2 linked regions of the Oryzias latipes genome follow. The protein of the gene in region 1 purifies or fractionates together with the protein of each later gene. This does not show direct contact. Links are inferred from orthologs where the notes say so. Each region holds a gene or a part of one and is shown in the gene's direction. Other genes may lie near its edges.

Region 1 (4,484 bases):
GCTTTGCTCTCATTTTCAAGCATGAACATGCAAGTGGAGCATCCTGCAGATCCTGGACCAAGATTTGCTTGTTTGGTCTAGACCAGAGCTCAGAGGAGCGTTCACACTTGAAGCCAAATGAGGCTAAAATGAACTCTCTTTTTGTTATCCCACATGCTCCTCCTCCTCCTCCTCAGGTAGAGCTCGTGTGTGCCTATGATTGCCTATGGTCTCAGTACAGTGAACTCACAAACAACAACCCATGAGTCACAGTGACGGCTCAGCTGCAGCTTCCTTGGATTACTGAGAGTGGTCCGGGGGGGGGCTTTGTTTTCACAGCTCTGCTGAGGACACAGAGCATCACCGAAGAACTGCGGGTAACTTCTGCTTTGTTCAGGGATGGATTACAGGGTGAAGAAGACATCTTTGTGGATCATGGGTGTGCTTAGAGCTGACAGTATAGCAGCTCCGCACCACACACTCATCCACGCCCGTCAAAGAAGTGTGTGAGCAGGCTTAAGCTCAGGCCTCTGCTGCCTTTGTAAGTGTAGGTTAGGAAAGCTCATAAACACTGCCTGCTCTGTGGAGCATCTCATGAACGCCACATAATCATTTCTCTTTGTTTTGATCCTTCAAACCTTAAAACTTGTCCTGTAAATAGGAACCTTTTCTCGCACAGAAACCACCACTAGGGGCTTTAAAGCAGCTACACGAAGGGCAAACAGAGCAGGAGCAGCAGGCTGAAGGCAGGATAGCTAATCCAGTTTTTATTGGACTGAAAACCAGCTTTGTGTGCTTCTGATGGTTTGATTCTCCCTGCTGTGCAGAAGGGCGAGGTGCTTTGAACCAGTCATCCACTGTATTTTTTCATCCCTCAGGCAGCTATTTGTGAGTTTTTACCAAAGCAGGTTGAGCAACACCAGGCCCCTCCCACAGCAGTCTGCCCTATGCTCCAGGCTACATAATCCCTGCTGTTGTTACTCCTGTTAGTCACGGCCTACAGCAGGAATTTTTCTGCAGGAATCATCCCTTGCCAAAACATAACTAAATAGCTGGCGCTGCAAATAAAACCCTGATTTTGAAGTGTTTGGTGCGGCGTAGCGTTGCAACACACCTGCTTCAGGTCCAACACATGTAGGTTCACCTGGAAAATGTATGGGCTTTCCTAACAATTCCATGAGACATGAATATTTAGCAGCTGATAAACATAAAGAAGAAAAGAACGAACATGAAGACTTCAAGTAAGCTAATCCTTCAGGGAAAACCCAGATGCTTTTTTTCTTTTACAAACATTTTCCCTCACTTTCTTCATAAACTACATGATGCTTTTTCTACTGAAGTCTTTTCGTTCTCAGTTTGTGACAGTCTGAGTTGAAAACGCTGTACAGAGTTTTTCATTTAACATGAAATGGTGTTGGTGCAAAAATGCTGAACTGATTTCTGTTCAGGCGAAGAGAATGACCATTGCAGCTCCAGGTAAATGCCGTGGGTAGAGGTTTCTGTCTGCATATTAAATGTGCGCACGATACTGTTTCTTAAGAACTGACATGTCAAGACAGGCAGGAGCAGTGGGGGAAGAAACGATGAAGCCAGATACAGAGGGCTTTTGCTTCTGAACAACCTAGAAGCCGCAACAAACGTCGGGCATAATTTGGTTCGTCAGTATTCTCTGCGCTGAAACAACTGATCATGTTAGCTGCAGGGGTCTGCTAACATTTCTTTGGCATGCAGTGCGATCAGGTAAGAAGTTCTGCTGGAACTCGAGGGTTTTTCCACCCAACAGAGTTCCAGCGACGTCTTTTCCAGTGCTTCTGCATTCCATCGCCAAGCGGTTCTTTAGTTTGATCAGTGGGCTGCTCTACATCTCTGTGAAAGCAACGTTATGTGAAGGTTATGGTCGTGTTTCCAGTAATCACGCCAACATAAGGGAGACATAATGTGTACGTTTTAAGGTTGAAACAAGAAACCAATCAGGCTTTATCAGGGTCTTCAGAAACTGTAGTCTTCACAAAAATTAGGATTGTCTTAAACATTTAGGAAATGAGAACACTCTGTTAGTTTACACTTTGTGGATGTGTTTTTCAGTCCTGTGGTCTACTGGTCTAAAGCCACTAAAAACATTGTTTTGCACATTTGCTTTCATCTCCAATGAAAAATAAATAGAGTTGGCAAAAAAAATGTACCTCTTAAAGTAAATTTAAACAAGAAGGTAAAAAAAGTGCCTGTTCATTTCTGCTGTGACGTAAATTGGAGCAGATCGGACACTGATTTGTCAAAGGTAGATATGATATTTATACCTTTATTGATTTATTGACACTATTTGTGACATTTGAAGAAGGATGTTGCTTTCTTTCTATAGTTCTGGGATTTTCCCAAACAGAAAATCTGGTCCTGGCCAGCAGAGGTTTGACAGGAAGATACGATGGGATGCGGCCAGTTTGGCGTTCCATTTTCTTCGCTGCTGTCATTCCAAACTCATGTTCACTTTCCATTAAAGCGTTCGTTCCCTGTGAGGGATTCAGTGGTGGACTGGCTCAACATACAGTGGCTACGGAAAGTATTCAGTGGTCACAGTGTTACATTTTTCACTCTTTGCATCATTGTAGCCTTTTGCCAAAATTAGGAAAGTTCATTTCAATTCTCAGTCATGTGCGCTGACTTACGGAGCCCGTGAAGGGACATCCAAGTGAAAGCAAAGAGTACTGGTTTCTCAGGCGCATGAAAAAGTATCTGTTGCTCAGAAGAAAGTAAGTGGTCATTTGTGCACAGGACCACTTTTCAGAGTTAGTTGTCATGTCCCCTCGCTATATTGCGCTTCACTTTTCGTTTCGTTTTCACATTTTTTTCAGTGCAGTTTTTCCTTCTTTGTCTTTATGCAGGGCATTGACTGCATTCTGATTGGCTGTTGTCCATATCAATCAATCTCCTCTGTACCGTCTCTCTATACATGCAGTTTGACTGTGAGGATAAATCTATGATTGTAATCAGATCTTTGTTTTCATTTTATAGTCCTTAACTTATTTTTCTGGGAAGGTTTGAACTTTAAGAGTTTAAACAAGAATGAAAATGTTCATGTCTGAGAACAGTGTAGAAAGTGTGCTGTGAGGACTTTTCCGCCTTTAGACCATTGACTATAATAGAGAACTGGACTGAGGGAGTGTGACATCACCCATAAAAAAATGCCTTGCTTCTGGTTCCAACGAAATTAAGTCAATTCAGTCGCCATTGTCCACGACGGTTGTCATCCAGCGGCGCCCCCTGCATCCTCAGTTGTTGTCCTGCAATGAGGCTCACTCTTGGTTCCGCCCAACCTGCCAGGACTTTATTACAGCAGACGCTGTGTCGCATTCTCTCCGGGGGACGGGTCATTCCCCTCTTCATCCTCTCCCGGTTCAGACTGCGCGCACTCCTCTCCTGGTGCAGTATGGATCCGGGAGGCGGGTAACCCTGTCCTGGTCTCCTCTCTATCCTCCTTTCTCGTCCTGGTCTCTCATTAAAACCGATTGATGCCAGGTGCCCACCTGTTGTCTGTTCTGCAGTGACATCCGTGAGGAGTTCAAGGACCTCAGAATTTCCACGAACGACGTCACAGTTCAGAACAAGGAGCCCAGAATTTACACAATAAAGACACACCCTGTCATCATTACATGAGTTATTGAGTTTTATGTTACCTTGCAGCTTTTCTTGTCTGGCGTCACCTTTGTGTTATCGCCTAAAGCCAGTTCTAAAGTCATGGGGTTTGTTTCAGCTTTGGAGATTCACTTGCTTTGATCAACTAGTGTACTGCACACGAGTTTTTTTGGTCCATGACCTACTTTCTGGTGCTCACCAGAATTTCTCCAGTTCTATCTTTTTTCTTCTATATTACTTTAGGGGCTCCAAACTGAGTGAACTATCTTGATAGAAAAAATCAGAGAGGTAGAAATTCCTGCCTATTAACAAGAAAGAAAAACTGAAAAGTCACATGGTCTAAGTATTGAGTAGAAGCTTCCGTTTTAGCTGCTACAGCCATGAGTCTTCTTGGAAATTATGCAACAAGTTTATCACACCTGGATTTGGGGATCCTCTGCCTTTCTTTCTTGCATATTACATGGTGAATGTTGGTGTTCAGCCATTTTTAGGTCTCTCCATACATGTTCAATTGGGTATAGATCAGGGATCTGGCTGGACCAGTCTAGAACAGTCACAGATTTGTTCTGAAGTCACTCCTTTGTTATCTTAGTGGAGCGCTGTGGGTCATTGTTTTATTGGACGGTGAACCTTCTGTCTGAGGTCCTGATCACTCTGGAAGAGGTTTTCTCTCAAGATACCTCTGTACATGTCCCTGATGCTGAAAAAATAACCTAAAGCATGATACTGCCACCATCATGTTTCACTGTTTACTACCTTGCTTTAAGGCCCAAAGCGCTTTACAGTCTCATTCTCCCATTTATACTCACTGATGATGATCTCTATAGAAATGCTGGTGAATTAAATGCAATGTTCAATCTTCTTTTTCTTTAAAA
Region 2 (3,816 bases), on another chromosome or scaffold:
CTCCGTGAAACTAGTCCCCGCCACTGCGTCACAGAAAATGACACAGCTTTTTTGATTTTCCCTAGAAATGGCATCATAATAATTAAAAGACCTCTGGGAAGGCTTTAAAACACATAAAAAGATGATTGGAGTGGATTTTTAATATTAAAGAACATCAAGGCCCAATTCGTTTTAATCTGTCAAATATTGTGTAAACAAACTTTTTATGAAACACTGACTCATTTCTATTTGTTTTTGGCTTAAGTTTGCCTCCTGGCGTACCAGATATCCCCACTGCAGCCTACCAGCCCATCTCAATCCATGGAACTCTGCCTCGGCGAAAGAGAGGAGCTGGGAACAGCAGCACCCATGGGAGCTTCACATGGGAGCCTAAAGCCAATCAGGCCTCACTTTGCAGGAACCCATCACTGCCTCCAGGACACATGCATCAACCCACGACATCCTCACTGGCCCCAGACATCACTGAGGACTTTAATAGTTACAGGTACTTGTTGAAATACAAACTAAATGTTTTGTTGGACCTGTTTAATCTTTTAGTTTGTTTTGAATAAAATTGGACTTACTGTGAATATAAAGTTAAGTGACGGCCATAAAGATAAAAACTGCTCATCTTGAGAGTGGGGCATGACAGAGACATGGAGGGTGGGTTAGCATGAAGAGAGAGAAGGTTGTAAATATAGCCCAGAGGGGGTGTGGCAGTCAGCTCGACTTCAGAGAAAGCTCACACAGCTCATCTCTCATCACGTCCTCCCATCTATCTGTCAAGAGTGTAGAGTTACAAAAGGCTGGATTAGATATAGCCAGCTTTGTGTGCGTTTGTGTGTGTTCATGTGTGTGTGCGCGTGGCCCTGAGCAGTTGGGTTTCCTTTGTAGGTGCGGGTGTGTCGGGGTTGATCACAGATTACTGTGAACTCTTTGTCTGTTCCCTTTATCTGCGCGCCTCCACACTGGATCTGTTTCATACGCGGCTGACATAATTTGTTCGGGTCAGATTCAGCCTCTGCAGGTGGCTGGATACTGAGCTGCTTTGTAATCCCACTGAATGATGCTGAATGAACCAAACGCTTCACGCTGAAATGACACTCTTTGAGAAAAATAAAAAACGCAAACATGTACATTTGCTTTTTTTTTTTTTGAAAGAAATGTTTGCTTTTATATTTGCAAGAAAATTCCAAAACTCATGTAGAATTCCTCAGAGTTCTCATGTGAGCTTCCTATAAAGAGAAAATGAAGGTGTGGAATTGCTGCTCAGTCGGTCTTTATGACCCATGCTGTCAGCCGACCTGTGGCCCCTGACCTTACGTTGCACCAGATTCCGATTGGACAGTTTGTCTTTCTCTTGACCTCAGTGGACACATCAAGACCACCAAGAGAGTAGGAGGAAGAGGAGGCAGCTTTGGAGGAGGACAGCTGGGAGGCAGAGTAAAAGGAAAAGAGTGCATGTAATACAGAGATGGAGAAAAATGTTTTATTTTATTATTCATAAAACCTGCTGTTTGCTTTCTAGGCTTAGCTGATAGTTGCAAATATAATTTTCCATTTCCGTGTGTTTGTGGGGGAATGCATGTTTATGTGACCAATTCTGAAACTGATTTTGAACAGAATTACTGGTTCATTATTCTATTTTAATCCCAATTCAACAAAAGATTAAATTATGTTTTGCAATTTCCAATATTAATTTGTTAAAAATACTTTGACTTTTTTAGTGACTCAAAGTATCCAAAAGTGCATAAGTCATTTTAAAATTCTGAGGTCTACTTTTAAAAAAACCAATGGCAAAGCAATTTTTTTTAACCTAAAGTTCAAAATAATGGCTTAAAATATAATCTAAGGACTTTAAAACATTTGGTATTGCATTTTGTCAAGGAAGGTTGATCCAATATTTTTTTTAAGTCAGCTTGATATATAAAGAATCTCCGGTAACCCAAAATGGCATGGAAAGTGCAAATCTAGTATTTATGCCAAAATGAATAGGAAAAAAAACACATTTTCTGTGTAATTCATACTTTGAGGATATATTTATGACATAAATAAAGCATTGATATTTAAGATTTTTCATAAAAATTCTTCAAAGGTGCTGTAAATCATCAGCCTGGTCACATGTTAAATGGAAGCACACTGACCTCTATGGGCCGTTGACAGATCCTGCATGCTGCCACTTTCCTGACCTCCCTTCTCGTCCCCATCCCCTCCTTCTTTCTCTGTCTTCCCAAACTCTGGTTGTGGTCATGCTGAGTATTGTGTGGTGGAGCACAAAGAGCGAAAATAGCCAGAAAAAGACTGTGGCAAGTGCGTCTTTTCTTTTTCTCCTTTTTTTTTCTTTTCCATTGCCTCAGCCCTTTCTCAGTGTGCCCCTGACTGTGCAGCAGGTTGGTTTTGTGGTCACAGAGGCAGAAGAACTCGCTGTCCAATGCTGTTTTAGAAATGTGGGCAGAAAAGACAAATTTAGTCGTACCCAGGAATGCCTGGGCCATCTCACTACAATTTCCCTTGTCAGTGTTCACCAAAAGAATTTAATTAACTTTAACTTTAATCAAGAACTAGGAACAATATTAGAAATCATGGCTCTCTGAATGTCAGAGGGACTTTTGAATGAAAGAAAAACAGGAAATTTCCCTCCTTTTTGGCTCATTTGACCCACAGGGCTTTCATAGGGTGTTGTCAGTCTGTGGTGGTTTTTCATTGCACTGTTATACTGCACAGCCAGGACACTATTAGGAAAGGTTTCAGGCCTTTAGAAAAACAAAGCCAACCTTCAGTTGCCTTAGCAGCAAAACAAAATACAGCAATTATGTTAATTTTTAAAATTAGATTTTTTTTTTTGCATTTCCCTATTTGGAACCTTTCTATTTTCTTCAGCTGCTAATTTATGCCAAATAATTAACAAAAATGTACAATAACTGAAATTCTGAGTGTAAAAAAATGTAACAAAGGACTTTAAATATCAGTGGAAAGAACATTTCTATTCAACAATTTCTGCAATCCCAGAAAACTTCATTATCCTGCCAAATTCTCAACTAAACCAAAAATTACACTTATCTCTAGAAATAGTTGATAATGAATTGTTGGAGAACCTTGGAGTCCTCAGCGGTCCATATGTAAAATAAAGTCAGCAACATCATGAGGTGAAGGGGCCATAAAGCACTTTAAAACCACTAAACAAACCCAAAAAATCAATACCACAACCCACAGGGAGCTGCTGAATTGATTTAAAAACTTTTTTTTAGCACTCTAGCCACTGAATCCTAAATTGTTTATGTAAAGTGCTATTTTTTCAAAAATGAAAAAGCACAACACCGTAATAATGTAATGCCATGTTGATGTTTTCATTATCTAATAGGTAACATAAATGTTTTCACAGATTTCTTTAGATATGAAAATTTGCGGATGAGCTCCAGCAGCCCTGCCAGTGTTTTGGAATAACACGCGTGTCTGTGTGCAAAGGACAGCCTAGTAAGCTGTTTATGGTGATACTTCTGCCTAAAATATATGGGCTTATGCACTGCACCAGCTTAAATCTCAGTTTGCTAAAGACTGTAGTTGATCTTGAGGGTGACAGAAAGGCCTCTGCTTTTGATAAGTGCCTAGAGTGAATGGAGGCCTCTGTTCTGTTACACAACCAAATCCGACTCATTATTTTGAGCCATATTAACATGGAGAAGAAGGCTTAGAGTGCTAAACATATTTGCTATGGTAAGTAATGGACTGTGCTAATATTCCCATTGGAATTCCATTGCAGTATTAAAAGATTTAAACTACCAACCCTGTTAATGTAGCAAGGGATTTGAGCTAATTACCTCCTTCATGGAGCTCCCG

Evidence for each region.
Region 2: the proteins of bcar1 (region 1) and bcar3 purify together in Homo sapiens (co-immunoprecipitation; 4 studies listed by BioGRID and IntAct, counting the BioPlex papers as one, with this or other methods). This does not show direct contact. The link is inferred for Oryzias latipes from reciprocal best matches to the Homo sapiens genes BCAR1 and BCAR3.

What each region holds. Positions count from the first base shown.
Region 1 is NC_019864.2:4,911,694-4,916,177, forward strand, and holds the start of bcar1 (breast cancer anti-estrogen resistance protein 1), read left to right. Parts: upstream 1-1,591; 5' UTR 1,592-1,704; coding exon 1,705-1,719; intron 1,720-4,484. UniProt on the Homo sapiens protein: Docking protein which plays a central coordinating role for tyrosine kinase-based signaling related to cell adhesion. Implicated in induction of cell migration and cell branching. Involved in the BCAR3-mediated inhibition of TGFB signaling.
Region 2 is NC_019862.2:18,877,961-18,881,776, forward strand, and holds part of bcar3 (breast cancer anti-estrogen resistance protein 3), read left to right. Parts: intron 1-244; coding exon 245-484; intron 485-746; exon of another isoform or gene 747-1,410; intron 1,411-2,123; exon of another isoform or gene 2,124-3,816. UniProt on the Homo sapiens protein: Acts as an adapter protein downstream of several growth factor receptors to promote cell proliferation, migration, and redistribution of actin fibers.